Linked DNA regions of Macaca mulatta. The protein of the gene in region 2 interacts with the protein of the main gene of each other region in a pairwise test. Links are inferred from orthologs where the notes say so. Each region holds a gene or a part of one and is shown on either strand. Other genes may lie near its edges.

What was found.
Region 1: the proteins of TECR (region 2) and HACD2 interact in binary tests that used the Homo sapiens proteins (3 or more experiments, as listed by UniProt). The link is inferred for Macaca mulatta from reciprocal best matches to the Homo sapiens genes TECR and HACD2.

What each region holds. Positions count from the first base shown.
Region 1 is NC_133407.1:160,174,727-160,191,325, forward strand, and holds the start of HACD2 (very-long-chain (3R)-3-hydroxyacyl-CoA dehydratase 2), read left to right. Parts: upstream 1-7,281; 5' UTR 7,282-7,293; coding exon 7,294-7,448; intron 7,449-9,999; coding exon 10,000-10,117; intron 10,118-16,599. UniProt on the Homo sapiens protein: Catalyzes the third of the very long-chain fatty acids (VLCFA) elongation four-step cycle (condensation, reduction, dehydration, and reduction).
Region 2 is NC_133424.1:15,170,291-15,186,019, reverse strand, and holds the end of TECR (very-long-chain enoyl-CoA reductase), read right to left. Parts: intron 11,497-15,729; exon of another isoform or gene 11,010-11,496; intron 9,003-11,009; coding exon 8,952-9,002; intron 8,321-8,951; coding exon 8,269-8,320; intron 7,870-8,268; coding exon 7,825-7,869; intron 7,728-7,824; coding exon 7,624-7,727; intron 7,546-7,623; coding exon 7,430-7,545; intron 7,345-7,429; coding exon 7,239-7,344; intron 6,737-7,238; coding exon 6,664-6,736; intron 6,573-6,663; coding exon 6,529-6,572; intron 6,456-6,528; coding exon 6,398-6,455; intron 6,323-6,397; coding exon 6,234-6,322; intron 5,892-6,233; coding exon 5,846-5,891; intron 5,766-5,845; coding exon 5,638-5,765; 3' UTR 5,529-5,637; downstream 1-5,528. Other genes in the region: NDUFB7 (NADH dehydrogenase [ubiquinone] 1 beta subcomplex subunit 7), read left to right, coding at 4,602-4,770, 5,246-5,378. UniProt on the Homo sapiens protein: Involved in both the production of very long-chain fatty acids for sphingolipid synthesis and the degradation of the sphingosine moiety in sphingolipids through the sphingosine 1-phosphate metabolic pathway.

The DNA.
Region 1 (16,599 bases), on a different chromosome or scaffold from region 2:
ATGTTGGAAAGGGAAGCCAACATACCTTCTTCACATGGCAGTAGGAGAGAGATATGCAAGCAGGGGACGTGCCAGATGCTTATGAAACCATCAGAGCTTGTGAGTTTCACTCACTATCACAAGAATAGCATAGAGGTAACCACATCCACGATTCAATTACCTCCCACTGGGTCCCTCCCACAACACATGGGGATTATGGGAACTACAATTTAAGATGAGATGTGGGTGGAAACACAGCCTAATTGTATCAGCCATGATTGTAAATTTCCTGAGGCCTCCCAAGCAATGCAGAACTGTGAGTCAATTAAACATCTTTTCTTTATAAATTACCCAGTCTCAGGTATTCTTTATAGAGGTGTGAAACTGGACTAATACAGAAGATTGGTACTGGGAGTGGGGTACTGCTATAAAGATACCTGAATATGTTGAAGCAAGTGTGGAACTGGGAAACAGGTAGAGGTCACAACAGTTTGGAGGGCTCAGAAGAAGACACGAAGATATGGGGAAGTTTGGAACTTCCTGAAGAATTGTTAAATGATTTTGACCAAAATGCTGATAGTGACATGGACAATAAAGTCCAGGCTGAGGTGGTCTTAGGTGGAGATGAAGAACTTATTGGGAACTGGAGGAAAGGTCACTCTTGCTATGTATGCTTTAGCAAAGAGACTGACAGCATTTTGCCCCTGCCCTAGAGATCTGTGGAACTTTAAGCTTGAGACAGATGATTTAGGGTATCTGGCAAAGAAATTTCTAAGCACCAAAGCATTCAAGATGTCACACGGCTTTTTCTGAAAGCAAACAGTCATATGCGTTCACAAGGAGATGATCTAAAATTAGAACTTATGTTTAAAAGGGAAGCAGAGCATAAAAGTTTGGAAAATTTGCAGCCTGACAATGCAGTAGAAAACAAAGACCCATTTTCCAGGGAGAAATTTGAGCCAGCTGCAGGAATTTGCATAAGTAACAAGGAGATGAATGTTAATAGCTGAGACAATGGGGAAAATGTCTCCAGGGAATCTCAGAGATCTTCAGGACAGCCCCTCCCATCAAAGACCTAGAGGCCTAGGAGGGAAAAATGGTTTCCTGGGCTAGGCAGGCCCAGGGCTCTACTGCTGTGTGCAGCCTCAAGACATGGTTCCCTGTGTCCCAGCCACTCCAGCTCATGGCTAAAAGAGGCCAAGGTACAGCTTGGGCCATTGCTTCAGAGGATGCAAGCCCCAAGCTCTTGCAGCTTTTATGTGGTGTTGGGCCTACAAGTTTGCAGAAGCCAAGAGCTGAGGTTTAGAAACCTACGCCTAGATTTCAGAGGATGTATGGAAATGACTGGATGTCCAGTCAGAAGTCTGCTGCATGGGCGGAGCCCTCACAGAGAACTTCTACTAGGGCAGCAGAAAAGGGAAACGTGGGGTTGGAGTATCCATACAGAGTGCCCACTGGGGTACTACCTAGTGGATCTGTGAGAATAGGGCCACTGTCCTCCAGACCCCAGAATGGTAGATCCACCAACAACTTGCACTCTGGACCTGGAAAAGCTGCAGGCATTCAACTCCAGCCCATGAAAGCAGCCTTGGGGGCTGTACCCTGCAGAGCTACAAGGGCAGAGCTGCCCAAAGCCTTAGGAGCCCACCTCTTGAATCGGCATGCACTGGATATGAGACATGGAGTCAAAGGAGATTATTTAAGAGGTTTAATATTTAATGACTACCCAACCAGGTTTCAGACTTGCGTGGGCCCTTTGTTTTGGCCAATTTCTCCCATGTGGAAGGGGAACATTTACCCAATGCCTATACCCCCATTGTATCTTGGAAGTAACTAACTTGTTTTTGATTGTACAGGCTTGCAGGTGATAGGGACTTGCCTTGTCTCAGATCAGACTTTGAACTTGGACTTTTGAGTTAATGCTGGAATGAGTTAAAACTTTGGGGGACTATTGGGAAGGCATGACTGGAACAGCACATGCAAATTCCCTGAGGCAAAAAAGGAGTATTGCTTGATGGAAGACCTAAGATGAGGCCAGTATGACTAGGAGGGGCATGGTGAGTCTGAGGAGGCAGGTAGGCTCTAGCCTATGCAGATTTTTGTATACCACATTAAATATTATATGCTTTATCCTAAGTGTCATCAAAAGCCATTTAAATATCTTTAGGGGGTCGGGTAGAGGAAGGTAGTAGACATTAACAAGCTTGTATGTGAAAAAGATCACTCTGGCTATACTGTAGAGCAGGGGTCCCCAACCCCTGGGCCACAGACTGGTACAGGTCCATGGCCTGTTAGGAATCCAGCCACACAGCAGGAGGTGAGCAGCAGGCAAGTGAGCATTACCACCTGAGCTCCACCTCCTGCCAGATCAACAGCAGCATTATATTCTCAGAGGAACACAAACCCTATCGTGAACCGTGCATACAAGGGATCTAGGTTGCATGCTCCACTTAATGCCTGTTGATCCGAAGTGAAACAGTTTCATCCTGAAACCATTCCCTCTCCAGTACACAGAAAAATTGTCTTCCATGAAACCAGTCCCTGGTGCCAAAAAGGTTGGAGATCGCTGCTGTAAAGAACAGCCTGGAATTGGGCTGAAGTGACTGAAAGAAGATACATTGAGTTTTAAATTGACTTCCAACTGAACAGAACTGTATGCACTCCTGCCTCCTCCTACTTTCCCATTAAGTAGATTATATTGGAAAAAAAATCAGTCAAATGAATGAAAGAAGCTTTCAGATGAATGATTATTTGGTTTTGTAAAATGGTTCACTTCTTTATTTCTTTTGCAAAGAAATTGTTTTGCCCTCTGATTACAGTGTGCAAGTTGGGCTCACCAACTTGCACTTTAAAAAATTCAGGAAGGTCGGGCGTGGTGGCTCATGCCTGTAATCCCAGCACTTTGGGAGGCTGAGGTGGGTGGATCACCTGAGGTCAGGACTTCGAAACCAGCCTGGCCAACATGGTGAAACCCCGTCTCTACTAAACATACAAAAATTAGCCAGGCATTGGGGCAGGCACCTGTAATCCCAGCCACTTGGAAGGCTGAGGCAGGAGAATCGCCTGAACCCGGGAGGCGGAGGTTGCAGTGAGCTGAGATTGTGCCATCGCACTCCAGTCTGGGGGACAAGAGCAAGACTCTGTCTCCAAAAAAAAAAAAAAGAAAAAAGAAAAAAAAGAAAAAATTCAGGAAAACTGCCTTGTTTTCCTGAACAAGGAACAGAGGCAACAGAATCTCTAAACAATCTGCAACAATGGTGGAAAAGGATGGGACCCTGACAATTGTCAATTTATACCTCTCACTTCATCTCTTGAGGTCTTGAAACTGCTTTTGCAAGAATTATAACAGTGAGAAAATTATGACTGAAAGAGATCTGATCTAACCAGCCCCCATCTTGCCTCTGCAAATCAAAGAACATGACCAAGGCAAGTCTCAATCATTTTAGGAGGTTTATTTGCCATAGTAAAGGATGCATGCCAGGGAAGCAGGTATATGCTTATCTCCAAAGATTATTTTGAGGGCTTCAGTACTTAAAGGGGAAAGGGTGGATATTGGGGGAAGATAAATTTTTTTTTTTTTTTTTTTTTGAGATGGAGTTTTGCTCTGTCACCAGGCTGGAGTGCAGCGGCGCAATCTTGGCTCACTGCAACCTCCAAATCCCTGGATCAAGCGATTCTCTTGCCTTGGTCTCCCAAGTAGCTGGGACTACAGGTGTGCATCACCACGCCCAGCTAATTTTTGTATTTTTAGTAAAGATGGGGTTTCACCATACTGGCCAGGCTGGTCTCAAACTCCTGACCTCATGATCCGCCTGCCTGGCCTCCCAAAGTGCTGGGATTACAGGCATGAGCCACTGCACCCAGCTGAAAAATATTTTTAAATTGTGTCAGTAGATAAAAAGACAAAACAGTTGCATCCTTTTGAATACACAATTTTCATGTGAGGGGGGTGTGGAGGAAATATTCATGCCTTCATCTGGCTCAGTTAATCTGTATTTTTACATAAGATAACATAGACAATAGGGCAGAGGAAGCAATCAGATATGCATTTGTCTCAGGTGAGCAGAGGGAAAACCTTGAGTTCTGTCCTATGTCTCATAATTGTGAAGACATCAACTTATATTGCCAGGTTGAAATTCAACAGAACTGTTTTAGAGTAAAGATCTTTGGGCCTAAAAGGAATTTACTTGTGGGCAAAATGTGAGGGAAGTATATAGCTTTTATCTTTGTAGCCATCTTATTTAGGAACCAAATGGGAGGCAGGTTTGTGTGACCCAGTTCCCAGCTTGACTTTTCCCTTTGGCTCAGTGAATCTGGCGTTTTCCTTTCTCACCTTTAACCTCCAATACTGCCCTTGGTCATTCCTGGGCTTGGACCAAGCTAACTTTGGGAGAAACTTAGTTTATAGTTTAAGTGATAATAGCCCCTCCCCAAAACTAAACCACTTTTGTAAAACTAATGAAAAGCCACCAGGTTAGAAGGATAAGAGGAGCTTGAATTCTGCTAAGACATAGGCTTCGTTAAGTTAAATAGATTACCAGCCACTATTGCAGAGGTCACAAGATTTGCAGCTCTCCCAATTGTAGAACCTAAGATTGGCCTTTTGAGATAACCTTTCAGGCTTCTGCATTTCGGATGGCCAACGACCCCACTGGGACCTTTGACTCTTGGCTCAACCAGTCCTGTGGCCTCCACCCAGAAGCAGGCTTAGTGCAGGAGGACCATTTTCCACATCCCTATAATTGCATTCCCAACCAATCAGCAGCACCCATTAATTGCATCCCTATAATTGCATTCCCAACCAATCAGCAGCACCCATTCCTCCAGCTTCCTGTTTGCCAAACTGTTTGTGTGTGTGTGTGTGTGTTTTTTGACTACAGCTCTCAGATCTTAGCCAAACTATTCTTGGAAAACCCTAGCCTCTGACTTTTGGGGGAGATTTTGAGTAATAACTCCATCTCATGTCAATTAAACTCTTTATTGCAATGCCATGGTCTCCATGAATTGATTTTGTCTGTGCAGTGGGCAGGAAGAACGTATTGGGTGATTACAGTGTCATGGATTTAAATACCACCACCCCCCTCAGAACTCTGAGAAAAGATAAATGGCTCTAACAGCTTTGAGCTGTCTGAGCTATGTGAGGTATGCAAAAACTTATCAGGCCCAGAGAAACAGGAGTTTGCCTGGGGGCAATTGTTTAGACATTCTGTTCCTCACCTCACCCATTCTGAGCCTCACCCATTATCTTCATGTTCCTGGAATCTGTGATACAAATAATAGTTTATAGCCAATCAATAGCTAATGTAATTTTAATGTAAATTCTTAGTAAACAACTTAGAAATTGCCTCTTTTTCCTTTAAAAACCCACTCATAACTGCTGCTAATCAGAGTGTATATTTACGGTAACTTGAATCTACACTCCCAGGTAGCCATCTTCAACGTTTACGCTTGAATAAACTTCCTTTCAACTAGATTCTTACCTTTTTTATTATTTTAGGTTGACAACTCTCAAATTTATATTTCCAGCCCATTGGACTTCCTTCCCGAACCTCAGGGTCTAAATCTAATTGTCTATCCAGCCTCTCCACTTGGATGTTTAATAAGGATTTCAAATTCAACATATAAAAAACAAAATTCCTGACTTCCGCCTTAAAAACAGTTTCTTACAAGTTGCTCAAAATGCCTTTGACCTCACACTCCAAAACTAATATAGCCACAAATCTTATGATTCTACTTCTAAAATATGCCCAGAATTCATTGTTGTTGTCATCACCTCGATCTCCACCACTCTGGCCCACACCACTATCACTATAGCTGGATTATTGTAATAACTTCCTGATACCACTTCTCACCAACTAATACGAGCATTTTCGTCTGGTTCCCTCAGGGGTCCTTAAGCCCCAGGCTGCGGATAGTACCAGTCCGTGGCCTGTTAGGAACCAGGAGGCACAGCAGGAGGTGAGCAGCAAGCAAGGGAGCATTACCTCCTGAGCTCCGCCTCCCTCAGATCAGCGGTGGCATCACATTCTCAGAGGGGAGTGAACCCTATTGTGAACTGCGCATTGGAGAGATCTAAGTTGTATGCTCCTTATGAGAATCTAATGATAAATGTAATGCCTTTGAATCATCCTGAAACCATCATCCATCCCCCACCACGAAACCGGTCCCTGGTGCCCAAAAAGTTAGGGGCCGCTGCTCTATATAATCCCTGGGAGACCGATGACTTTGTCTCTTTCACTTAGTGCCATGAACTCCAGGGCAACTTTGTGGACGCTCCATAAGTACTTGCTGGAATGAACCCATATATATTTTATACTACCACATATACAGTAATACATTTAAGGAGCTGCTTGGGTGTGTAAAAAATTGCAGGGGACGTTTACAAATAAAGAACCTCCTGAAACAAAGCAAAATGGAAAGTGGGGTCAGCTGGTTGAAGCAGTGCCCACAAGCTGCTCCAGCTTCCCAAAGCAGACAGGTTTTCCACCTAAGCCAACATCCTTTTATTTTTAGTCACTATATCTATAAATCTACTCCCTTACCCCGCACCTCACTCTCAGCCGACAGCCCAATGGGCTTATCCTCTTCTCGCCCTCACGATGAGCGAGTCCATGTGGTCTCAGGCTGCAAGATGCACTTGAACACCTGCCCAAACCTCACGGACGACACTGGATTCTAGGCCTCCTGGGCTTCTCCACTGTACTAGGAATGTAAAATCAAAAGTCAGAAAGAAAACTTCGGAGGTGGAATCTCCAACCCGGCTACGGGTTGGAAGTAAAGCGCATCTAGCAAAGGGCTGGTCCATGCAGCCTCAAGGATTGATGGGAAGTGAATCCACCGTCAACCGCCCTGATTCAAAATGGCAGGATACCGGAGCGATAGTGTTTAGGTGTGAAGGTAGGGCCATTGAAGAACGGAGAACGAAAGCACAATTGTTTTGATTCAACATGGAGGCGGTGATTACAGGAGGGCGAATAGCGAGAGACGACGCAACATCCAGCTGGCAGAGGCAGCAGGCCTGGCGAGGGTGGCCACATTGAACTAATCCAAGATGGCGCCGAGGTTGTAACCGGGAGCGCGCAAGAGGCGGGAATTACCCTGATCCAAAATGGCAGTGGCAATTGAGGCAAGCCGAGGGACGGAAGCGCCAGGAGCGTCTTTGCCCTCAGCCAAGATGGCGGCTGCCGTGGACCTGTCCCGGCTCCGCCCCGCGGCCCCGGCCCCGCCTCTCCCTCGTCCCTCCCTCCGCCCCCTCGCCTCGTACAGTCCGGCCAGAGCCGCTCGCGCTGCGAGAGCGGGCTTCGGGCACTTGACATGGCGGCAGCGGCGGCGACTGCAGCGGCGAAGGGGAATGGGGGCGGCGGTGGCAGGGCCGGGGCCGGGGACGCCAGCGGCACGCGGAAGAAGAAGGGCCCGGGGCCCCTGGCCACGGCGTACCTGGTTATCTACAATGTGGTGATGACAGCCGGGTGAGTCTGGGGCTCGGGGAGGCGGGGAGGCGGGGAGCCAGCGCGGCCGGGGAGGGAGCGCTGCGGCCAGCGGCGCGGCCCGCCGCAGGCAGTGCATCCCGGGCGGGCGGTGCCCGGGACCCGGCACCTGGTCGCTGAGGGCGGCCGAGCGCTGAATCGGCCCCGGTGGCTGCCCGCGAGCTCCCTCCTGCGCTGGGGGTCGAGCCAAGTTCCCAGGCACTGGGGCGCGGGGACGGCTGCCGGGCGCTGGCTCGCGAGGGCCGCGGGAGAAAAGGTGGGGCTGGCCACAGGTGCGGGGCCCGGGGCGGCGGCCGGATGACCTGCCTCGCGGAGCCCATCCCGGGCGACCAGGCTCGGATGGTGAACGGCGCCAGCCTAGGGAGTGGAGGAGCTGTGGCTGCAGGGTGACCATTCATTTGGGCGGCTGTTTTCAAAATCTGGACTGCGCTTTAATCAGAAAGGTATTGGGAAAGAGTTCAAAGTTTTTGGCCAGCGACATAAGCAGAGCTGAGTTTTAGATGAGTTCAGACTTTCAGGATGGGTTGGGGTGGAGAAGAAGCTGGGGAGTAGAAGGCAGAGTTACTGGAGAGGGGGAGAATAGACCCTCGAAACGGTTTTACCCATCTTCTGTCTCCCTCATTTTAGTCCATCCCTTATCCCGGCGGGTTTTTAGTTCAAGCTCTGCCACTAACTAGCTGTGTGACTTTGGATAAATCATCTTATTTCTCTAGCCTCCGTGTTTTCATCTGTAAAACTGAAGGGTTGGGCTGGGTGATGAAGGTTCCTTCAGCTCTGCAATTCTTTATCTCGTCATTTTGGTGAGGAGGATCACAGGATCAGACAATTTGTTATATATTTTTAAGTTATCTTCATTTGTAATTTTTAAAGAAGTCCTAACATTTTATGAAAAATTTCAAACATACAGAAGAGTTGAAAGAATTGTATAGTGAATATCCATTTTTATTTAGTTTTAAAGTAGGTGATACATTGGCAGGGTTCAAAATGAAAAACATGAGGGAATACAGTGAAAATCTTTCCTCCCACCTTTCCCTTCTACCCAGATCCCCTCCCTCGAGGCAGTTAATTTTGTATATCCTTAAGATGCTGATGCAAGCAAATATGTTTATACATCCCCCTACCCCTTTTTAAAATAAGACAAATGCCAATATATTATTATTTTTACAATTCAGCACCTTGCTTTTTTTTCCAAAAAAAAAGAAAAGACATCGTGGGAGGATCATACATGTATTGCTAGTATTAGAAATGGTAAGTGTTGAAACCTAGGCTCAGAGAAGTTGTGACTTGCATGAGATCATAGAACTTGTTAGTAGAAGTTCCGGATCTGGAAATCATTTCTTTTGACTCACAGGTCAATGAAGAACTAGTACAGATACAAGCTTTATATCACATCAGTGGTCACATAGATTGATTTTTAAAAGAACATCCAGGAATCTCTCTGTGTGTATTAATATTTATATATGTAATTCTTGTTGTCTTAGCAAGGGCTGGTGAGGGCATTGGACTGGAGAGGGATTTTAAGGTACATTGGTAAGAAGAAAGAAGTCTATTCCTGAGCAATGAACATAGAGAATTGGGTGGAGGGTAAGGAGTGGTGTCTTAAACCAGGAAGATAAATTGGGATTGTGAGAGCAAAGTAAGCTTTTTTTTTTAAAAGGCTGTTAATGGTTATACCAGTTACACCATTAAATAATTTCTTCTTTTACAAACTCTTATTTGATGTCCTTATATGATAGTTTTTGGAAATAGCATAGACCACACACACCCCATTGCCTAGTTGATACTATACATTGATCTAAATCCTTCCAGGAGACATACCTTAATAAAAAGGTCCATTTGTTTTATTATGGAACTTAACAAAACATTATGTTTATTTTTGAGAAGGACAGTGGAACAAAAATATAACATTCACGGCTGTATGCTTAAGTGCTTTCCTGTTTTATGATTTGTATTGATCTGGCTTTCATTTCTGAGTTGATTTCGGGAAATTTGGCTAAAAACCTTTTTTTTTTTTTTTTAACAAGAGCCCTTTATTCTTAATTTTAAAAGGATAGATTTTAAGGTATGGGTAATTGTTCCAGTGAGACAATTATAAAAATAGTTTAAAGGATCTTCTTTCTACCCTATAATTATTAAAAACCCTTTAATTGCACAGGCTGTTTAAAATTTTCCTTTAACTATTTTTTTCTCGTCTTAGATTTTCTTGGCACCTAATTTAGTGGCACAAGGACCATTTTAGCTTATTTCTTTCCTTTTGGCCTTGTTCTCAATAGCAAAGTTGCCAAAAAAAATGAGCTCCAGATGGGTGAGGTGCCACTATGCTTTCACTGAGCCCTCTTGGTAAGGTGCTGTTAGTGTTGCAACATTTCAGTGCATTACAGCTTGGCATTTGAGAGCTATCATCCATAAATCCAGATTACTGATGCTTGAGGTCACCTTTAGCAATATCTTTTATTGCCACAGCTGTCTATTAACCTAAATCCTACTTTTTTTATTTTTATATTTTCCTGATTGCTCTTTTCTCTTTTACTAGGTGGCTGGTTATAGCGGTTGGTCTGGTCCGAGCATACCTGGCTAAGGGTAGCTACCATAGCCTTTATTATTCAATTGAAAAGCCTTTGAAATTCTTTCAAACTGGAGCCTTATTGGAGGTAGGTCCTGAGATTTATTGTTGTTATTGATTTCCATTGGTATAAAAAAAAAATGCAACTAAATTATATTGAAGTAGCATACCTCCATTGGATTCGTGTTAAATTTTGAAATTTTGCCTCCTCACGTACTAAAGTGTTGATACCTAGGCTTTTTGATGTTCTAGATTGGGTAAAATCTCATTTAACTTATATTACCTTGAATATATTTTGTATTCGACTTTGGAAAATCAACTGAAACAAGCTTGTATTAGGATTTTAAAAAATTCTAGGGACATCCTGAGGAAGCACTGGCAAAATCAGATGCTTTCAGGGTTTATGTAATAGAAATAGTGAAGTTGGTGGGTGTAGGATATTGGGAGTGATAGATAGAAAACATAATAGAGAGCCTGTCTAAAGGCATCCAAATTTTAAAAATTTAACAAAAATGTATTGATTTCCCTGCATTAAGGGCAGTGTATATCCAGCCCTCTCTCTTGGGGTAAGTATAGATTAGCATTTTGGAATTGCAAGGGACAAAAACCAATTCAAACTATTTTAAGCAAAAAAGGAATTTTCTGGCCTCTGTAGTTGATACAGATACAGGATTAATTTACAAAAAACTAGCTCAGGAATGAGAACCAAGGAGTTGATGCTGCCAGATTCTCTTGCTTTCTCTCATCTCTGCTTGTCTGTTTCTCTTTGAATGTTGGTCTTGGGCTCTCCACATGGTGGGAAACAGGGAGGGTGTTTATTTTTCTCAGCATTTGTGTCACATAGTTCCCAGGGAGGATTCTGGTTGGCCCTACTTAGACTGTGCCAGTGATGTGAGGTGCTTGATTAGCCAATCTTAGGACACATACCCATTCTTCTCTCTGAGGGACTATAGACTTTGTTTATGGAAAAGAGGAATGGGGATAGCTTTGGGCTATCAATAGCCGCCGTAGTTCATTATGGTGAAAAACCTTCAGATTGCAGGGAAGATCTGGTTCATTTTGCTTAGCCTCCAGGCACGACCATCTTGACATTTATACTTTACTGGCAACTTTTAAAACCTGAACTATCGAATGATACTTAAGAAAAAGTCGTTTATCTCGCTGGGCATGGTGGCTCACGCCTGTAATCCCAGCACTTTGGGAGGCCGAGGCAGGCGGATAACGAGGTCAGGAGATTGAGACCATCCTGGCTAACATAGCGAAAACCCGTCTCTACTAAAAATATAAAACTTAGCAGGGTATGGTGGCACACGCATGTAGTCCCAGCTACTGGGGATTCTGAGGCAGGAGAATCGCTTTGAACCGGGAGGCAGAGGTTGCAGTGAGCCGAGATCACGCCACTTGTACTCCAGACTGGGCGACAGAACCAGACTCTGTCTCAAAAAAAAAAAAAAAAAAAAGAAAAAAAGTAAAAATCGTTTATCTCATGAAATGAAATGTGATACCTCTACCTTTCATTCTCACTCTTTTTTATTTTCTTGAGACAGGGTCTTGCTCTGTCGCCCAGGCTGGAGTGCAGTGGTGCAATCATGGCCATGGCTCACTGCAGCCTTGAACTCCTGGGATCAAGCAGTCCTCCCACCTCAGCTTCCAGAGTAGCTGGGCCCACAGGTGTACACCACCATACATGGCTAATTTTTAAAACTTCGTAGAGACAGAGTCTCCCTGTGTTGTCCAAGCTGGTTTCAAACTCCTCAGCTCAAGCAGTCTTCCCATCTCAGCCTCTCAAAGCACTGGGATTATAGGCGTGAACCACTGCACCCAGCCCACTCTCACTTTATTTATTTATTTTTTTGAGAGAGGGTCACTCTGTCACCCAGGCTGAAGTGCAGTGGTGTGATCACTGCTAACTGCAGCCTCGACTTCCCAGGCCCCAGCCATCCTCCCACCTTATCCTCCCAAGTAGCTGGGACCACAGGCATGCACCACTGTGCCTGGCTCATTTGTATATTTTTGGTAGAGATGAGGTTTGGCTGTGTCACCCAGGTGGGATCCACTCTCACTTTCTAAATCAGAAAGTTATCCATTTTGCTTTTGTTTTTTTCTCTTAGAAGGCAGTTTCTTTTTTTCTTTCTTTCTTTTCTTTTCTTTTTTTTTTTTTTCTTTGAGACAGGGCCTTACTCTGTTGCCCAGGCAGGAGTGCAGTGGTGAGATCTCGGCTCACTGCAACACAGAGGAATTTCAATAGTGTCCATACTTAGACATTTTAAGTAGGTGGTATGATGAAATGCGCTTCCAGCTGGAAGCCTGAGTACCTTTTTTATTTTAAGTATAATAGTTTTCCCAACTGACTCTAGAGATTTGGGCGAGTCTTTTCTCTCTTATCTACCTCCTTTTCATTTGTAAAATAATTAGGTTAAAGTAGATTTCTAAAGTCCTTTACTACCCTAACCATTTGAGTCTGAGGAAATTTTAATAAATCCTAATGTGAACCATTTTTTAAACTTAGAGGCTTGAACTTTTTTTGGAAGGGGACACTAGTAAATAAGTAGTACTTTCTATCTCAGAGCCTTGGCCAGTACAGTTCCCTCAAGCTACAGAGAAGCAAATTTGGAGTCAAGACCATCAGACTCCCAGTACTTGATATAGTAGGGGGTTGTCCCCAATTGGAATACTTCAATAATTTAAAGGGGTTTCTATTTCTATCATAATATTAGGGCTGAGCACAGTGGCTTATGCTTATCATCCCAGCAATCCCAGAGCTTTGGGAGGCCAAGGCAGCAGGATCGCTTGAGGGCAAGAGTTCGAGACCAACTTGGGCAACATAGCAAGACCTCGTCTCTAAAAAAAAAAAATTTTTTTTTTTTTAGCTGGGCTGGGTGGTGGGTACCTGTAGTCCCAGCTACTTGGGAGGCTGAAATGGGAGGCATGAGCTTGAGCCCAGGAGTTTGAGGCTGCAGCGAACTATGATTGCATCACTACAGTCCAGCCTGGATGACAGAGTGAGACCTTGTCTCAAAAAAAAAAAAAAAAAACCAGCAAAAAAAAAACACTTGGTAATGTTAGAAGTATAATGTTTGAAATTTAAGTATATCTTATGGAAGGTAGGGACATTAAACAGTGTCATACTTTAAAATCCACTCAGGAACCAAGTCTTAGACTTTGAAGGATTAGCCTGTTTATCCTTATAGAATTTTTAATAGGGATTTAGGAAAATATCTTGGATTTTTGGTTTTATCTCTGTTATCCCCGCTAAGAACCAATTAAGTGACAAATCCTGGATTTGATTTTGGGAAAAAGTCTGCATAAGGAAGTGACGACTCCCAGGAACATGCAGGCAATTAACATTGCAAAGGTCAGTGATGGAAGTAATCCCTTGGACTGCGTTAGAGCAGGCTTGCTGAAACAACAGTTTCTGTGGTTGAGGAGCTTTTCATTGCCTACCCCATCTATGCTGTGTAATAATTAGATGTGTATGATATTGTTTAATTACACATAAGTTATCCCGATGGGAATTATTAGTGTTGACAGTATATCCTGTTTACAGGAGGAGAAAATGAATCCAGGGAAGGCAGCTACTCATTTATATCTCTCTATGCTAAATGTTATTCTTTATTAGGTTCTGTGGGAGTTTACTTAAAAAGGAAATCGAAATTACTTGTTCTCCAATTTCAAATCTTCTTAGGAAAATAATAACACTTTGCTTTTTAAAAGCCATAAAAACATTTACCAAGCAAGTACAAAGGAGCATGTAGTAGTGAGGTACAAAAGGAAGCCTGGCTGAGTGCCGTGGCTCACACCTGTAATCCCAGCACTTTGGGAGGCTGACATGGGGGGACTGCTTGAGGCCAGGAATTCAAGACCAACCTGGGAAACATAGCGAGACCCCATCTCTACAAAAAATTTAAAAATTAGCCAGGCATGGTAGCATATGCCTGTAGTCCCAGCTAATCAGGAGACTGAGGCCGGAGGATCACTTGTGCCCAGGAGTTCAAGGCTACAGTGAGCCATGATCGTGCCACTGCACTCCAGCCTGGGTAACAGAGCAAGACCCCATTTCCAAAAAAAAACAGTATATATAAATAAAATGCTACTCATGGATAAAATGTGATCTATGGATATAAACATTCATAAAATTAATAAAAGCAAATGAATTACTGATATATGTTATGCCTGGATAAATCTTGAAAAAAATGCATGTGAAAGGAGGCAGATACAAAAAGTCACAAATAGTATGATATCATTTATATGAAATATCCAGAAAGGCAAATCCATAGTGACAGAAAGTAGAGGAATTATTAGGGGATGTGGGGAGTGACTGCTAATGGTACAGGATTTCCTTTTAAGGTGGTGATATTGTTGTTGAAATAGTGGTGGTGGGTGCACAACTCTGTGAACATATTAAAAACCACTGGATTGTACAGTTTAAAATTGTGAATTTTGTGGCATGTGAATTCTATGTCAGTTTTTAAAAAACAAGTTCCTCTGTAATGAGCTGTGGATGTTTTCTACTTTATTCATTTTTTGGAGTCCGTGATATTCATTGATAAGGCAGATGTTATCTTTGCGTATTTGTCAAGTATAGTTAGATTAAAAATTAGTAGATTGATGCAGTTATGGCAGTTTAAAATTGTGTCTGAGAGAATTTGGGTTTCTCAATATCTTTGGTTAACATAAGACTGTAATTATAGCAAAGACACTTTCAAATACTCATGATTGGATATACCTCTGCAATTGACAGTGAGATTTCAAATGGGTTAAAGATTGCTCTGCAAAGAGGTTAACTGTTGAGATTGTTACAGACTATCTTCAACGTATTTACATTGCTGTATATGTCATTTACCTACCATTGTGTATCTGGGACTGCCTGATGGACCACAGGAACTCCCTTTCCTTCCCATTCTCTTACAGATCTTTCTTCTACTTAAAACCCCTTATCTACAAAAATGAATAAACAACCCAATCTCATTTCTGATAGTGTTGAATTGATCTAGGACAGGGTCTGGAGAAGTGGTGAGAGACAGCAGACAGCTTTTGTTAGTCTTCTAACCCCACCACCACTTTCTGGGCCCCATCTGTGTGGTCCGGTCTCACTCTTCAGACCTCACCTCACAATGCTCTTCAGATCCTTTAATGAATAGGAAACTGATTTGGGGTATTTCTCTAAAATATATCAAAGTCTTAGGAACTTGCAGTGTCCTTAAGAAGAAAGATCCCTTCTTATCTCCCTGCCAGTTTTTCTTTCTTTATGGCTCAAACACTAACTGATTTTTGCCATGGAGGTATAGCGCTTCAGACTGCTTTTGTAAACTGGTTTGAGGACATAACCATTGTCTGTTTTATTTTTCCTTCTTGTGGAAACATTCTGATTTCCCAATAATAATCTCAAAAAGGAACTTCTAAAAAGCAAGCTACATGCATATGTTAGGCTCCTTTTATTCTGGACCCATTTTGAGGAGACACATCTCTAAAAGAGGCTTTTGAAAAGCTAGCAAGAGCAAGTCATAGTGGAGATATCTAACACAAATAGGAATGACAACAAATCCCAGAAAAACCAACTTCTCAAACAGTGTGAAAACCAGAGGAAAACGCTAACTTGATTAAAATTAATAAGTGTCACAACATTAGAAGGGAATAGGGAGCCGGAAGGAAACAGGAACCCACCCACACAGAACTCACTGCTTGGTGACTCAAGCAAATAGAAGCAAATTGATGTGGTATTCAAGAGGTGCAATAGCTAACATCTGTAGAAAGGAATGTGCTGAAATTAAAAAAAAAACAACTAAAAATATCAGTGGTGGCAATGTAGGGCAGGAAGGAGCCACAGTGCAAGAAATAGGTGATACTGAAGATTCAAAAAAGGCAGGAGTTCCCAATCGCATTCTCATATAAAATCAATTGCAGAACAGAAGTCATAGGGAAATTTTCACAGTTCACCATGTAAAAGAAACATTACAAAACATTGTAACAGAAAAACAATATGTATAGAACCAGTGTATCTAGAAAACCTGATAAGGGTGTATAAGCTTTCAAAAAGTAAGACTACCAGAAGAAGTAGAAAAGGTTGGAATATACAGCTTGTAAATAATCAGGGAGAAAAGTTACAGAAAACTTTGCTGAACTGAAAGGCCACCTCACTATGGTTAGTGAGAGTTTATGGTGTTCCACAACAAAAAAATTTCTTCCCTTCCTTAAACATTTTCCAGCAGAAAAGAGCAGATTTTAAAATGTAATAGTTAAAAACAACTTGGGACCTTAAACCTGAAAGAAGAAATAATCCCCGTGAAGCTAGTAGGAAACGTTAGGTTCCTGGATAACAGACCATGCAATTTCCTACAGTTGGAAACGTTTTGAAAACACTTAGAAAAACTAATGGAACTTTGAAAGCACCTTATCAAAGAGTATTTAACTTTAATCAGAGTAGTTAGCTGTTATCAAAGAGTAACTGTTATATAAATAAATAAAATTAACCAAGTTTTCAAACTAGCACTGTCCAATAGGACTTTCTGCAGTGATAATGTTGGAATGCTGTTCAAAACAGTAGCCACTAGTCACTTAAAATGTGGCTAG
Region 2 (15,729 bases):
CAGGCTAGAGTGCAGTGGCGTGGTCTCGACTCACTGCAGCCTCCACCTCGCAGGTTCAAGCGATTCTCCTGCCTCAGCCTTGCGAGTAGCTGGGATTACAGATGGGCACCACCACGCCCGGCTGATTTTTTGTATTGTTAGTAGAGACGGGGTTTCGCTATGTTGACCAGGCTGGTCTTGAACTCCTGACCTCAAGTGATCCGCCTGCCTCGGCCTCCCAAAGTGCTGGGATTATAGGCGTGAGCTACCACTCCCGGCTTCGGGCCGAGTCTTGGGAGATGTGGGGAGTCACGGGAGGGCAGGGACATGTTCATTGTACCCCTTTCCTAATGTCGCTGCAATTGTGGTGCATGCACAAGAAAATAAGGAAGATTCGCGCCGCGAATACCGTCCTGCAAAGTGCTTTGTTTTGCTTTGAGATGGGATCTTGCTCTGTTGTCCAGGCTGAGTGCAGTGGTGCAATCACAGCTCACTGCATCCTCGACCTCCTGGGCTCAAGCTATCCTCCTGCCTCAACCTCCCGAGTAGCTGGGACTACAGGAGCGTGCCAGGATGCCAAGCTGATTTTTTATTTTTTGTAGAGATGGGGGTCTTGCTGTTGCCCAGGCTGGTGTCAAACTCCTGGGCTCAAGCGATCCTTCTGCCCAGCCTCCCAAAGTGCTGGGATTGCAGATGTGAGCCACTATGCCCAGGATGGTTTTTTGGTTCATGTTTGTTTTTGCTTTTAATGTAGTAATATCACAGGCATACCGAGAGCCAGCTCTGGGCCACCTCCCACATTAGGAACCGCGGATACAGCAGGGAACTGGAAGGATGCAGGCACTGTCTCCAGAGAACTCACAGCACAGTGGGAAGGATTGTGGAATCAGGCAGAGCTGGATGGTGTCAAGGCAGGCTTCCAGTAGGCAGAGACTGGAAACAAAGACGTGAAGGGTGGCCAGGCACGGTGGCTCATGCCTGTAATCCCAGCACTTTGGGAGGCTGAGGCGGGCAGATCACCTAAGGTCAGGAGTTCGAGACCAGCCTGGCCAACATGGTGAAATACTGTCTCTACTAAAAATACAAAAATTAAGGCCGGGCACGGTGGCTCATGCCTATAATCCCAGCACTTTGGGAGGCCGAGATGGGCAGATCATGAGGTCAGGGATTCAAGACCATTCTAGCCAATATGGTGAAACCCTGTCTCTACTAAAAATACAAAAATTAGCTGGGGGCATGGTGGTGCGCACCTGTAGTCCCAGCTACTCAGGAGGCTGAGGCAGGAGAATCACTTGAACCCAGGAGGAGGAGGTTGCAGTGAGCTGAGATCACACCACTGCACTCCAGCCTGGGCAACAGAGCAAGACTCCATCTCAAAATATATATATATATAAAAATTAGGCTGGGCACGGTGGCTCACGCCTGTAATCCCAGCACTTTGGGAGGTCAAGGTCAGTGGATCACCTGAGGTCAGGAGTTCAAGACCAGCCTGGCCAACATGGTGAAACCCTGTCTCCCAAAAATACAAAAATTAGCCGGGTGTGGTGGTGCGTGCCTGTAATCCCAGCTGTCTGGGAGGCTGAGTCAGGAGAATTGGCTGGAACCCGGGAGGCAGAGACTGCAGTGAGCCGAGATCGGGCCACCACACTCCAGCCTGGGTGACAGAACAAGACTCTGTCTGGAAAAGAAAAAAAAGATGTGAAGGGCCACGAGTAGGGGTTGACCAAAGAGAGGTGGCAGAGCCAAAACTTCTAAACAGAGGAGGGACACAGTCAGGTTTGGTCAGTCAAAAGGTCCCGCTGTCTGCTGAGCGGGCGACAAGCTTGAGACAGACACCTCTAAGCAGCCTGGATTTGAGAGAAAGTTGGGAGATGGTATAATCGCTCCAGTGTCCTCACTCCAGGCAGTCTTTCCGCCCCAGCTGAACCTGCAGTCCATTGGTCCGTCCACCTCCCTCCCATTGCCTCACATACCTTGCTTTGCCCAAGATCAGCTTTGCAAACGCTAGCAACCTGCTGCCCTTCTCTCTCGCTTACTCTGGATAAACTCACCTCTTTCCCTTCCTTGGCGCCTATCCCCATGCAACTGAACATGATGCGGGAGAGATCAGAAAAAAACAGCTCTAAGCTAGGCAAAATGGCTCATGCCCAACGCTTTGGGAGGCCAAGGCAGGAGGAGTGCTGGAGGCCAGAAGTTCAAGAATAGCCTGGGCAACATAGCAAGACCCTGTCTCTACATTTTTTTTTTTTAATTAGCTGGGTGTGGTGGCACATTCCTGCAGTCCCTGCTGACTGGTCTCCCGATTGGTTCTCCAGTGGACTCTTCATGCTGCCTGGCCTTTCTATTACCTCCTGGATCCTTCACTCTCTCCCTCCCTCCTAGACCATTGTCCCCTGCCCTCTCTTTCCTCCTTTCCACCCCCTTTCAGCCAGTCACTTTGCTAACTGCAACATCCGCCTTGCTGGTTCAAGCAGTTCTCCTGCGTCAGCCTCCCGAGTAGCTGGGATTACAGGTGCGCACCACCGCACCTGGCTCATTTTTGTATTTTTAGTAGAGACAGGGTTTTACCATGTTGGCCAGGCTGATCTCGAACTCCTAACCTCAAGTGATCCACCCGCCTCAGCCTCCCAAAGTGCTGGGATTACAGGCATGAGCCACCACGCTCGGCCCATATTTATTTATTTGTTTATAGAGATGGGCTCTCACTCTGTTGCTTAGGCTGGAGTGCAGTGGTGCGGTTACCACCCACTGCAGCCTCAAACTCCTGGGTTCAAGCGATCCTCCCAAGTAGCTCTGCCTTCTCTGTGTGCACCACCGTGCCCAGACAGTTTTATTATTTTTTCTAGACATGGGATCTTTCTGTGCTCCCCAGGCTGGTCTCCCTAATACTTAAGCACTGCCAGACACGCTGTGGTGCTCTGTCTTCTGTCTGTTCTGTGTCTCCCTCCGAGGGCAGGGACCCTTGTGTGTTGTGTTCCGTGCTGTATCCCCACCACTAAGCACACAGTAGGCGGTCTAAAGTCCTTGCTGCTAGTTGATTATAAGTTTGAGACAAAAGAGGGAGGAGTCTAGGATTGCCACCTGGAGCTCCAAGTGCAGATAGGGAACAGCCAGGGGCTGCAGGTGATACCCAGGCCTAGGGCTCAAACGAGGTGTGGGGTGGAGGGACCACATCGGACTCATCTACCTAAGGGGTGGCAGCAGAGAAAAAGGATCTCAGACTGGGCGTGGGGGCTAGCACTTGTAATCCCAGCACTTTGGGAGGCCAAAGTGGGTGGATCACCTGAGGTCACGAGTTCGAGACCAGCCTGACTACCATGGCGAAACCCTATCTCTACTAAAAATACAAAAATTAGCCAGGCGTGGTGGTGGACGCCTGTGGCGTCCCAGCTACTCGGGAAGCTGAGGCAGGAGAATCGCTTGAACGTGGGAGACAGAGGTTGCAGTGAGCTGAGATCTTGCTACTGCCCTCCAGCCTGGGTGACAGAGTGAGACTCCATCTCAAAATAAAAGAAAAGAAGAAGGCTCTCAGAACAAAGCTTAACGCAAGGCAGCCATAGAGATGGGAGGAAACCTGGGAAGGCGGGATGTGGGAGGAGCCACAGGAAAGAAGGAAGTGGGAGGCTGGGGTCCTGGGCTGTTGGGTGGCCCTGTGAGAGCCCCTGTCTGGGCAGTGAGAGGGTGGGGCAGAAGCCAGAGAATGGAACAAGGGGCAGGAGAGGAGGACCTGGGCCTGAGTGGGATGAGGGAATCACGGCTGGGAAGCAGAGGGGAGAGAAGCCAGCCTGGGATGACTGCCATTGAGATGTGAGTATGTCTCCTCTCACTTGCGCAAATGGGAAGGAGCTGGGACTAAGAAAGATGTGGACGTCAGGAGGGCTAGGGAGGCTGGGTCTGAGGGAGGCAGCGGGGAACAAGTGCAGGATCGCCAGGCACAGGCTCCAGGGTGAATGTCCAGGGTTCCTCAGGCTCCCATCAGCCTCCTGAAGGTTGATTTGTCCGGAGTCAGGTTTGCTAGGTGAGTGCGGCACCGGGACCCAGATACTAGTCCAGCTGTCTTCTGAGCCCACGCCTAAGTATCTTACAGGTACTGTTAGCTCAGTGGATGCTCAGGTAACTTCCATGAGCTGATGGTCAGTTCTGAGGCTCAGAGAGAGGCCACGCCGCCGGCCAGTGCAGAGCCGGGACCCGGGCGGGTTGCAGACAAGAAAGGCTAGGAGTCTGACTGGAGCTGCAGGTGCGGGTGGAGTCTGAGGGGGTACTCTGGGAGAAGGTGGATTCTGAGAGCGGGGCTGTAGAGAGTTGGGGACGGGCATCCCTGCGGGAGGGGAGGCAAGGATCCAGCGCAGGATGTTGAGGTGCCTCAGGGTGATGGGGAGCCACCTTCTCCTATCTGGGCTTTCGTGTCTGGAGTTGCCTTTGTGCAAATTAGAAAAGGAGGCCCCTTCAGGACAGTGCGTCCATCAAAGGCATCTGCCATCCACTACCATCTGCCACCTGGATGTTAATGGGGGACACCCCGAGCCGTGGCTTCCTGATGCCGTGTGCCTGGGTCCCCTGGGGATCCCTGGAATTGGGGTGGGAGGCCTTCAGCCTGGTTGAGCCCTGCCCACTCGCTGCAGAGATGGTGGCCACACAGCAGGAGATGATGGACGCGCAGCTGAGTCTCCAGCTGCGGGACTACTGTGCCCACTACCTCATCCAGCTGCTCAAGTGCAAGCGCGACAGGTTCCCCAACTTCCTGGCCTGCAAGCAGGAGCAGCACGACTGGCACTACTGCGAGCACCGCGAGTGAGAACTCCCACACCGGCCCGCAGCACCCCACACCCCCAGCCTTCCACAACCCTGGCCCACCCAAGCACCCCACACCCCCAGCTCGCCCGAGCCCCCTGCCAACACCCACAGCCTGCACCCCACCCAGGCCCTGGCCCCTGGCAGGATGTGGCTCCAGAGGCCAGAGACCTGAACTGCCACTGAGGTTTCTAGCCGGGCCCCACCTTAGTCCCAGAGAGGGCTTTCTAGGGGCCTGTTGGATGGGGACAGGGCAGGTGGCTGAAGCCACCTAGGGGAGTGGCCAAGCCCAGGTTCCAGCGGGAAGCCCTATCATCTGCGTGGACAGACCCCAGACCTAAACCACAGGCACTCGGGTCTGTCTTCTTCAGAGGCCTCCCCCACAGTGCTGTGGGACAGCCCCTCTACTTCCCAGGGCTTGGAAGGCGTGTCCTGGCCAGCGACACTGACAGCCCCTCTCATGCTTTTCCCTCAGCTATGTGATGCGCATGAAGGAGTTTGAGCGGGAGCGGAGGCTGCTGGAGCGAAAGCAGCGGCGGGAGAAGAAGGCGGCAGAGTTGGCCAAAGGCCAGGGACCCAGGAAAGTGGACCCCCAGGTGGCCCTGTAGGGGGTGCACCCCCCACCCTATGGACCAGTCAAATAAAAACCTTCAGGCCCCTCACCAGAGTCCCCTCTTACGGCGCCAACGCGAGGGTGGGGAGAGAGCGAGGGGCATGTGGTGGTCCCCAACCTCGGACAGAAACACACAGAGCCCGAGTCCGACAGGGGCAGGCGGGGTTTATTCCGGGTGCTGGAGAGCTGCGGGCCCCACTCCTCCCCCAGAATGCCACCCGGGTGAGGGGCTGAGCCCCAGCAACGGTGAGCGCTCAGAGCAGGAAGGGGATGATGGGCATGCGCAGGGGCGGATAGTCCCGGAACTCCTTCAGGTAGCTGCGGTGCTTGCCCTTGGCCCAGATGGTCATCTGGGTGAAGCCCACCAGGGAGAACAGGGCCACTGCAGGAAAGAACGGGCGTCAAGGAGGGGCTGCAGGCCCGGAGGGGCAGGGCCCCGCCGAGGGAGGGCGGCAGGCTCACCTGGGAGACACTGCGTCATGATGGCGAAACCGATCCAGGACCCCACCTGTGGGCAGGGGCGGAGGGTGAGGGTGGGCAGGGCTGGACAAGGCCCGCTGTTCCGCCAGTCTCGCACCCTGTGGCTGTCCTGGACTCAGTCACCCACGTCCCCCAGCCCCTGCTTTCTGAGTCAGGGATGGGAACCCAATTCCAGTGGAAGCGGGGCTGTATACTGCGAAAACCCAAGGGCACATGCCTCCCGGCCCCCACAGCAGGGAGGCCGCGGTCTCCACCTCCCAATGCTCCCAATGCAAAAGCAGCTGCCCAGCCAGGCGCCCCCTCCTAGGGGCTGGCCCCTCCACATGGGACCCCAAGTCCCAGGGCAGAGAGGGGTAAGGCAGCCCCTCACCTCGTAGGTGTAGTTGGGGCAGGACACCAGCAGGAAGAGCCACGTGAAGGGGTTCTTGGTGGGGTATGGGATCTTCCGGGTCTTGGACCCTGGCAGGCAAGACAGGAGAAAGTCAGACCCCCTCACCCAGCCCAGCTGTCCCCCTGCCCCCAGCAGGCACTCACCAGCGGGCCGCAGGTCCCGCAGGGCCATGTGGATGGAGAAGTTGCCGAGCTGGCAGATCTGTCAGAGAAGCAGGATCAGCCTAGGATCGCCCAGATTTCCCCCACCCCGTCCCCACACCCAGCCTCCTTACCACAAAGATGGCGAGCGCCAGTTTCACCTGCTGAGCTCCGTAGGCTGCAGAGGAAGCAGCGAGGGGAGGCCCATGAGGGGAGGACCCGGTGGGTGGGGGCCGTGGGGGAGGGAAGGACGGTCTGAGGCCACTTACTAGGCGGCGTGTAGAGAGGGTGGTTGATGTAATAGGCCATCCACGCGGCGAAGCCCCAGTAGTAGGTGCAGTTCTGAAAGGGAGCGGGGTAGGGATGGGACTTGTCAGCGACGGGCAGGGCGGATTCTGTCTCATCCATAGGGCCCTAGGAGCACGGTGGGGAAGGGCAGGAGGGGCCTTGGGGCGGGGCTGGGGAGGATAGGTGGGGCCAAGGAGTGAGGCTAGGGCAGGGCTCTATGAGGGCGTGGTGGACAGGAGGGGCCTAGGGGTGAAACTGGGGCAGGGTTCTGCAGGGGCGGGGCTGGGGAGGACGGGCAGGGCCTAGAGGCTCTGCGGGGGCGGCGCTGGGGAGGTTAGGCGGGGCCTAGGGGTAGGGCTCTGCGGGGGCGTAGTGGAAGATAGGAGGGGCTATGGGGTAGGGCTCGATGTGGGCGGGGTGAGGCGGAAAGGCGGGGCTCAGGGGTGAGGCGGGGCTCAGGGGTGAGGCGGGGCTCAGGGGTGAGGCGGGGCTCAGGGGTGAGGCGGGGCTCAGGGGTGAGGCGGGGCTCAGGGGTGAGGCGGGGGCGGGCTCTCACCTTGAAGATGTTGCGCAAAGGCATGGTGCCATGGGAGAAACGGTGCACGAAGAGCGTCTCCAGCAGGCGCTTGACGTAGTGGAATGAGTGGCAGATGCAGGCGAGGCTGGTAGGGGGGAGCAGGCTCAGCTGGGGGCTGGTCCGGCAGGTCTTCTGCCTTCCCCTACCCTCCTCCCGCCTGCCCCACTTACTGCACCACCGTGTGCCGACTGGACGTGAAGTCGTATTTGTGGCCATAGATGAAGGGCACTCGGAAGTAGAAGAGCAGGTAGATGAAAAGGGGCCCTGCGTACTCTGTTAGGAAGACCTGAGGGTAGAGGGAGGCAAGTTGAGTCACCCAATGTGGCTGATGGGAAAGGAGGCCGTGGGTAGGGTCAGGACTCACCGTCACCCAGCTGATCTGGGCCCCCAGGTCCCGGAAGTAGAGCGTGGCCGTGGTGCCCACGGGCAGCTTCTGTAGAATATCCTCATCCTTCAGGGACTTGCCCTCTGCAGAGAGGCGGGCCAGGGCTCAGGGGCTGCCCGGGCCTTCTCCCACTGCCACCCAGGAGCCTAGGGGGCGGGCCGAGCGGACAGCTGTACTCACTGGGGTCCAGGCGGAGGGACTGGCGGGCGGGGTACCATTGCGGATCTGGGGGAGAACAGGGCGGTTACAGCCCACAGACTGGCAGGGCTCAGCCGGTCCGCTGCCCAGTCGCTGTGCCAGCTTCTCAGGGTTCCCAGGGTGCAGGGACCCCAGGACTCCACAGCTCCTCCCACCCGGAGGCCAAGCCTCAGGCCTGTGCAGTTCCAGGACACAGGCCGGAAGAGCGCGGGCAGAAGCAGGATCTTGTCCTTCCCAGAGCCTAGCAAGGGCGTTCCTGTGGCGTGCCACGTGGGGGCGCCTGCCCCAGTCACGCCCCAGAAGCCTAGGCCACGCTCGGGCATCTCTGCAGGCCCCTGGGAGAGGGGTGCAGGATGGGATCCCTCCCACCCTAAGGTCCCTGGTCAGAGGGGTTGCAGGGGCAGTGTGGCCAGGCCTAGGACTCACGGGTCTTGGTGAAGAGGTTCTTGATCTCCGCAATGGTGGCGTGGGGCTCCACCTGGAGGAAGCACAGGCGCAGGGAGGTCAGCTCTGCAGGGAGCCCAGACCCAGGATGGGGAGGTAATGAAGGGGATGGCAAGCTTGGGGTTGGGCTGCAGCTATGGGAAGGGGGAAGGGCTGGGGTCTGGAAGGCAGAGGCCTGGACAATCAGGGAAGAAGCAGCGAGGGCCCTGCCAGTGCAGTGACAGCAGGGGTCTGGGGCTCCAGTTTTACCCTCAGCCAGCAGGCCCCCAGCCCAGCTAGTGGCAGATTAAGCAAGGGAAGGCAAGCCTGCTTCTCTGCCCCTCCTCTCTACTCCTCACCCATGACTCCCCCAGGCGCAAAGGCCCTCTTTCCTCCCCAGGGACAGGCCAAGCCCCTTCCCTCAGGGGCAAGGCTCAGCAGGGGCAAGGCTCAGCAGGGGCAAGGCTCACTCCTCCACCACCCTCCCAAGACCAAAATCCCCGCAGGGTCTACTGAGACTCCCATGCCTCCATTTCCCCGCCACACCCAGGGGACGGGGCTATCTACCCTACCCCAAGTGAGGGCATACCCCTCCACAGGGCCCCACTGGACAGCTCCTGGGCTGGAAGGAGGGGGGTCCTGGACCCAGTGCCCTTGGCCCAGTGCAGCCCATGTTCCGGTCCTACCTTGTCCAGGAAACACAGCTTCTCCCTTGTCTTTGCATCCAGAATCTCCACCTCGAAGAAGAGAACAGCCTTTTTAGGTTTCTTGGCCACCTTTGGGGGTGCGGGCCTGGGGAGCCCATTGAGGCCAGGGAGGAGACCTGGGGTGGCCTCCCGGGCCACCAAGTTCAAGCTCATGTCCATGCCGCCTGCCACCAGCCCTGCCGCTCGGCTCTGTCCACGGTGGCCAGCAGCCCCAGCTGCCAGCCGTCAGCCCCCACCACCGACCTCCCCACGCGAAGCAGCCCTGGGCCGGGCAAGCGCGATCAAATTCTGCCGCGGTGCTGGAAAGGAGCCCGTGCCGGCCCTGGCACTGCCGGCTTCTGTGCCAGATGTAACCCGAGTGGCAACCACAGCCACAGCCCAGCTAAATATAAAACCAGCCCGGACTGCGCCCCCCTCCCAGGAGCCGTGCCACAGACCTTCTCTGAGGGGGGTTTAGGAGGTGACCCCCGGGAGCCAGGCTGCCCTGAAAGCAGTTTTTGAGGGGTCACAGTCCCTCAACAGCACCAGCACAGGGAAAGCCCCAGGGGCAGCCATGGTGACACCTCCCAGCCCCCACCCTGCACAGAGCCAGCGGCCTGAGGAGAGTGAGAGGCCAGCAGGCCGTGCAGGCCCCAGCTCACAGCTCAGGCCTAGGGAGTTCACTGGGCTTGGAGAAATCCCAGCTATTTTGAGAATCCACGAGACAGATCATCCATTTCCCCTTCGGAGCTGTAAGAGACACTTCGGATTATTTTCCTTGTGCATTTGTGTTACCAGGGAGGTGACAGATTCTGGAGTTATGGGTGCAGAGAGCCTCTCTCAAAGTGTGGAAAGGATCGGGGTGCTTGGAAGTTTTAGGCAAGCGCCTCCAGTCTGGGCTGAGGAGGCCTCCCCGACCTTCCTCCCCACCCACTTCTCACCTTGTAGCCACCTGTGAGGCAGGCTTCCCACTGAGTCAGCCCAAACACTGCACCCCTACCCAGGACCTGCACCCCGCTAAAGCCCGGCGCTTCCTGCGTCCAAGAGCTAGGCCTGTGCCAGCCCCTGAGGGAGGAGTCCGGCCCAGCCCTCCCTGAGCCCCCAGGCCAGTGATGAACGATGGGGGTGCAGAGGGGCAGGGCTGGAGGGAAGCAGTCCCCGCGGATCTGACCCACCCTATGCAGGGGTCAGTGCAATCCTATCACACAGGGGTCGTGGCAAGCAGGCAGGCCTGATACCAAGTCAGCCACCGGCCAGCAATTCTTGGGGGACCCTTCCTACCCACAGAACCCCCAGCGGGGGCCCCCAGAGGCTGCCTGAGGAAAAGGAGCAGGACATAACGCTCAGAAACAAACCTCTGGGCCGGGGTCATCCCAGGGCAGGTCCACCCACCCAGAGCCCAGGGAGACTGGGCCATGGCAGCTAGGGCCCACCCTGCAGGAGAGGGCACCACGGTCAAGCCAGAGAAGGTGGGCACCCCTCCTGCACACTCCCAACGACAGTGGGAGACAAGGGGGCTTGGTGGCCTGCACTCGGGAACCGTAACCAGCCCTGCCTTGTAGTCCCTGGGGGACCCCAGGCATGTCACCTCTCTCTAGGCCTCAGAAGGGGGCAGGTAGGAAGCGGACTACCTCCCAGGACTGTGAGGGTCCCCTGCAATGGTGCGTGGGGTACACTAGGTGACCCCTGACAGATGGGCACACCCCATGGGATGGGAGGTGTTGTTGCCTGGGGGTTTGGTTCAGATCCCCACTCCCCTGCTGGCCTGGCGGTCACCACACCATGGGGGCCTATTTCCCCAGCTATGACACACTTGCCCCCACTTCCTGGACAGGAGGGTGGGAATGGGCCCAGCAGCCAGGAAATTCTGGCCCATGGGGCCTCCTGAGTCCCTGCTGTCAACTCCAGGCACTGCCTGGCCATGTGGCCTCTAGGGGAAGGTTACTGAGCTCCTCCAAGCCACAGCGATAACAAGGCCAAAGAGCTGGCACATGGAGGGGCCAGAAAAAAGAGCTCGGTCACACCACGCGGGACGTCTGACCCCACCAAGGGGATTTGTGGGAGAGGGACAGAGGACAAGGGGCGGGATGCACGGGAAAGGGTTAGCACAGCAGGGCCCTGGGCGGGCACAGGGCCTGGCCTGTGGCTGCAGGTATATTAATAGTTCCCGGGCCCCAGGCAGGCAGTGCCCACATGCTTCTGAGCCCGTGTGGCCCGCAGGAAGGCAGCCCGGCGTCCACAGGGAGAGGAGGCCTCCGAGTTCCTGCTGAACCACTCAACAGCTTAAAATACAACCAGCCCCTCTCCCTGTCCAGCCAGCTGCTAGGGGGAGGGGTGAAATCCTACCCTGCTCCCCCCAACCTGGGCACCGAACCAGGGCCCAGGAGGGAGAGTACGGCCATCGGGGTCCCGGCTAGCTGCTGGGAGAGGACGCCAGGCTGCGGCAGGAGGGGGCGGCCGAGAGAGGGGCCACACGCACAGCTGCAGCAGCGGCGACCAGGCCAGCCTGAGCCCAAGGAGAGGAGACGCCCGAGCCTGCAAAGAGGTAAGCCCGGGCTGCAGGGGACAGGAATGCCCATGGCTAGGGCCACCTGGGCAGGATGAGTCCTCAGTGGGACGGCTGCCCTTCTCCCGTTTCCTGCCCCAAATCCCCAGCTCATCGGCCATCTCCTCCTAGAGAGAGGACAGAAAGGCTCTGGGGGGAGCATGGGACCTCTCCATACTATTTTTGCAATTCCCCGTGTCTCTATTTTTTTTTTTTTTTTTTTTTTTTGAGACGGAGTCTCACTCTGTCACCAGGATGGAGTGCAGTGGTGCGATCTCGGCTCGCTGCAACCTCCACCTCTCAAGTTCAAACAATTCTCCTGACTCAGCCTCCCGAGTAGCTGGGATTACAGGCACACACCACCACATCCAGCTCATTTTTTGTGTTTTAGGAGAGATGGGGTTTCTCCATGTTGCCCAGGCTGGTCTCAAATTCCTGAGCTTAGGCAATCCGCCCACCTTGGCCTCCAAAAGCGCTGGGATTATAGGCGTGAGCCCACCTGGCCCGGCCTATAATTATTTCTAAGTAACAAAGTTAAATAAGATATTCCAGGTGGGGTAAAAGAAATAAGTTACGCTAAGTGAGACAAGCCAGACACAAAGGGTCCCATATCTATGTCAAATGCCCAGAGCAGATGACGGGCCAGGGGCTGGGCGGGGGCAGGGGAATGGGGAGTGGCTGCTGCTAGGTCTTCTTTCGGAGTGAGGACAATGTTCTGGAACGAGACAGAGGTGGAGGCTGCATGATGCTGCGTGTGCACTCAATGCCACTGTTCACTTTTAAATCGGTTAGTTTCATGTTACGTGAATTTCACCTCAATAAATTATTTTAACAAACAGGCCCCAAATACCCATCAAAATAAAAACAGTCGGGTGGGAGGAGCAGGAGAGGTTCCCCACCCCCAGAGGGAGGGCTGAAGTGAGACCTCATCAAGGCCTCCGCGCCCCACATCCCACTGCCACTGCAACCTCTGCTCTGTGCCTGCCACACATACACACACACACACACACATATATATATACACACCTGCCCAGGCCTGAGGCCAGCAGCGGGCAGGGGCTCCCAGGGGAAGCCCAGGGCTGCAGAGGGCACAGGCAGCTGCTGAACAGAGCCCCAGGCAGGGGGTCCTGAGCACAGACAGGGAGGCGGCAGGCTCTGGCCCCATCTCCAGGAGAAGCGGTGAGGCAGGGAGGAGAGGCAGGCCCTCCTGAGGAAGCCCACAGAGCCACGGGGCTGGGAGGGGCTGAGATGCTCTGGGCGGATGAAGGGATACCTGTGGGAGGGGGCTACTGGTGTCAGCAAAGTCCCAGCACTGGCCATGGGCATGGGGTGTGATTCCATAGCCTCAGGCACGATGGGCAAGGAGAGGGCAGGAATAGGCGGGCAGGCAGGCGCTCTGGCCTGGGGCACGGGCTGGTGGCTCTGCCGGCCTGTGGCTCTGTGATGACAGTTCCACTAGCTTGAGAGGAATTCTCACCAGGAGGCCCAAGATTCCCGGGCCCAGCCAACAGCAACTCGTGGCAGCACAAGGTCAGGGCAGGGCCAAGAGCCAGGACGCAGGGTGGGGCGCGAAGCCCACCCTGCAGGAGGGGAGCAGGGGCGAGGTTTGTGCCTCCCAAGCCCGGAGGGGAGTACCGCAAGCAACAGGGCCCCTGTCTTCACTGTCTTTGTGATCATGAAGATATTACTAATGGGGGCAGGAGAAGTAAAAAGGAGGGCTCTCGTTTTCTAAGCACGTGTCACAGCTCCTGGGATTGCGCCCACCTGGTGGGTGAACAACCCATAGAAGCAGACCTACCCATTTACTAGCTGTGTGGCCCTGGGTGTCACCCAACCTCTCTGAACCTCCATATCCTCATGGCAAAGTGTGCTGTCCCCAGCTGCCATCTGACAGGGTTACCGTAATCATCCCTAGTTTAGGATGAATCTTATATAAGAATAAATATGATGACTGGGCACGGTGGCTCACGCCTGTAATCCCAGCACTTTGGGAGGCCAAGGTGGGTGAATCACGAGGTCAGGAGATCGAGACCATCCTGGCTAACACAGTGAAACTCCGTTTCTACTAAAAATACAAAAAAATTAGCCAGGCGAGGTGGCGGGCAGCTGTAGTCCCAGCTACTTGGGAGGCTGAGGCAGGAGAATGGCGTGAACCCGGGAGGCGGAGCTTGCAGTGAGCCGAGATCGCGCCACTGCACTCCAGTCTGGGAGACACAGCGAGACTCTGTCTCAAAAAAAAAAATAAAAAGAATAAATATGATGACTGGGCACGGTGGCTCATGCCTGTAATCCTAGCACTTTAGGAGGTCAAGGCGGGCGGACTACCTGAGGTCAGGAGTTCAAGACTAGCCTGGACAACATGGTGAAACTCCATCTCTACTAAAAATACAAAAATTAGCTGGGCATGGTGGTGCATGCCTGTAATTTCAGCTACTCAGGAGGCTGTGGCAGGAGGACTGTTTGAACCCAGGAGGCAGAGGTTGCAGTGAGCTGATACCGTACCACTGCACTCCAGCCTGGGAGGCAGAGCAAGACCCTGTCTCACAAAAATAAACAAATAAGTATGATTAGACCAACACTAGCAGAACAGCCATTCCAGGTGCACACGGGGGCCAAGCCCTGGCAGGACCCACAGGCCCCTTCTCCCGGGACACTGACCATGGTCTTGAAGAGGCCCATCCACAGGAAGCCAGGGCCAGAGAGCTGGTGCAGTGACGCCTCGCCCAGTTGGCCACAGTGAACCCAAACCCTAACAATAGAGAGACTTTCAGTGCAGAGGCTGAGCTGACCCGTCACCACCGGGATGACTGGCAGCAAGCGGCGGAGACTGCGACGCTCTCCACTGTCCCCTTGTGGCCGCACAGCCTCACTCCCGCCTGCTGGAAGGGCGTCCGCCGCAGCCGGCTCAGGCACAGTCCCAAAGCCAATGTCAGGGAGGGAGACAGCTCTGGTGCAGAATGGGACCTTAACCCTGGCCCTGCCACCAGCCAAGAGAGTTCAGGGAGCCTGCATTCATGTATCCATTCATTCATTCCTGCCTCCCTCCATCCCACATCCCAGGCCCTGTTCCAGCTCCCGGGATATGGCAGTGAAAAACACCAAGCCGGCCTCTGGGGTTCATGGGACCTGAACTCTAGCCTGTGCGTGCTGGGGAAGTAGGGGGTGGGGGCAGACAGCCACTAGCATGTTTTGTCACCAAGAGTTGTGAACAAAACTAGAAGGTTGAGGGGGAGGTCAGATTTAGGTCAGATTTTTTTTTTTGAGACAGAGTCTCCCTGTCGCCCAGACTGGAGTGCAGTGGCGCGATCTCGGCTCACTACAACCTCCGAGAGGATGGCCATTTTCAAGTGGTCAGGGGAGGCCTTTCTGAGAAAGGGGCATGTGAACAAAGGCCAGTAGACAGTGGGGGAACCAGTGCAGTCCAGGCAGAGGGAACAGTAAATGCCAAGGCCCTGAGGCTGCACTAGACCTAGCATGTCTGAACAGGAAGGAGGCCTGCGTGGCCTGAGCAGAGTGAGTCAGGGAGACAGTGGGAGGCGGTGAGGGCAGAAAGGTGATGTGGCGGTCTGTGCCACGGCTTTGTGGGCCATGGGGAGGACACTAAATTTTACTCTGAGTCAAGTGGCAGCCATAGAGGGTTCTTGAGCAGAGGAGGGATGAGACTTGGCTCAGGTTCAAGACTTGGCTTCCCCAGCTTTACCTGCTTGCCACTGTTGGGTGGAAGAGCCTGGAGGAGTGAGGGCAGGAGCTGGGAGCAAAGAGGGAGCTGCAGAGAGGTGAAAAGTAGGCTGGGCGCAGTGGCTTACACCTGGAATCCCAGCACTTTGGGAGGCTGAGACAGAAGGATCACTTAAGCCCAGGAGTTCAAGACCAGCTTGGGCAAAAGAGCAAGGCTCCACCTCTACAAAAATTATTTATAAAAATTAGCTGGGTCCGGCCAGGCGCGGTGGCTCGTGCCTGTAATTCCAGCACTTTGGGAGGCCGAGGCGGGCGGATCACAAGGTCAGGAGATCGAGACCATCCTGGCTAACACGGTGAAACCCCGTCTCTACTAAAAATACAAAAAATTAGCCGGGCATGATGGTGGGCGCCTGTAATTCCAGCTACTCAGGAGGGTGAGGCAGGAGAATGGCATGAAGCCGGGAAGCGGAGCTTGCAGTGAGCCGAGATTGCACCACTGCACTCCAGCCTGGGCGACAGAGCAAGACTTCGTCTCAAAAAAAAAAAAAAAAA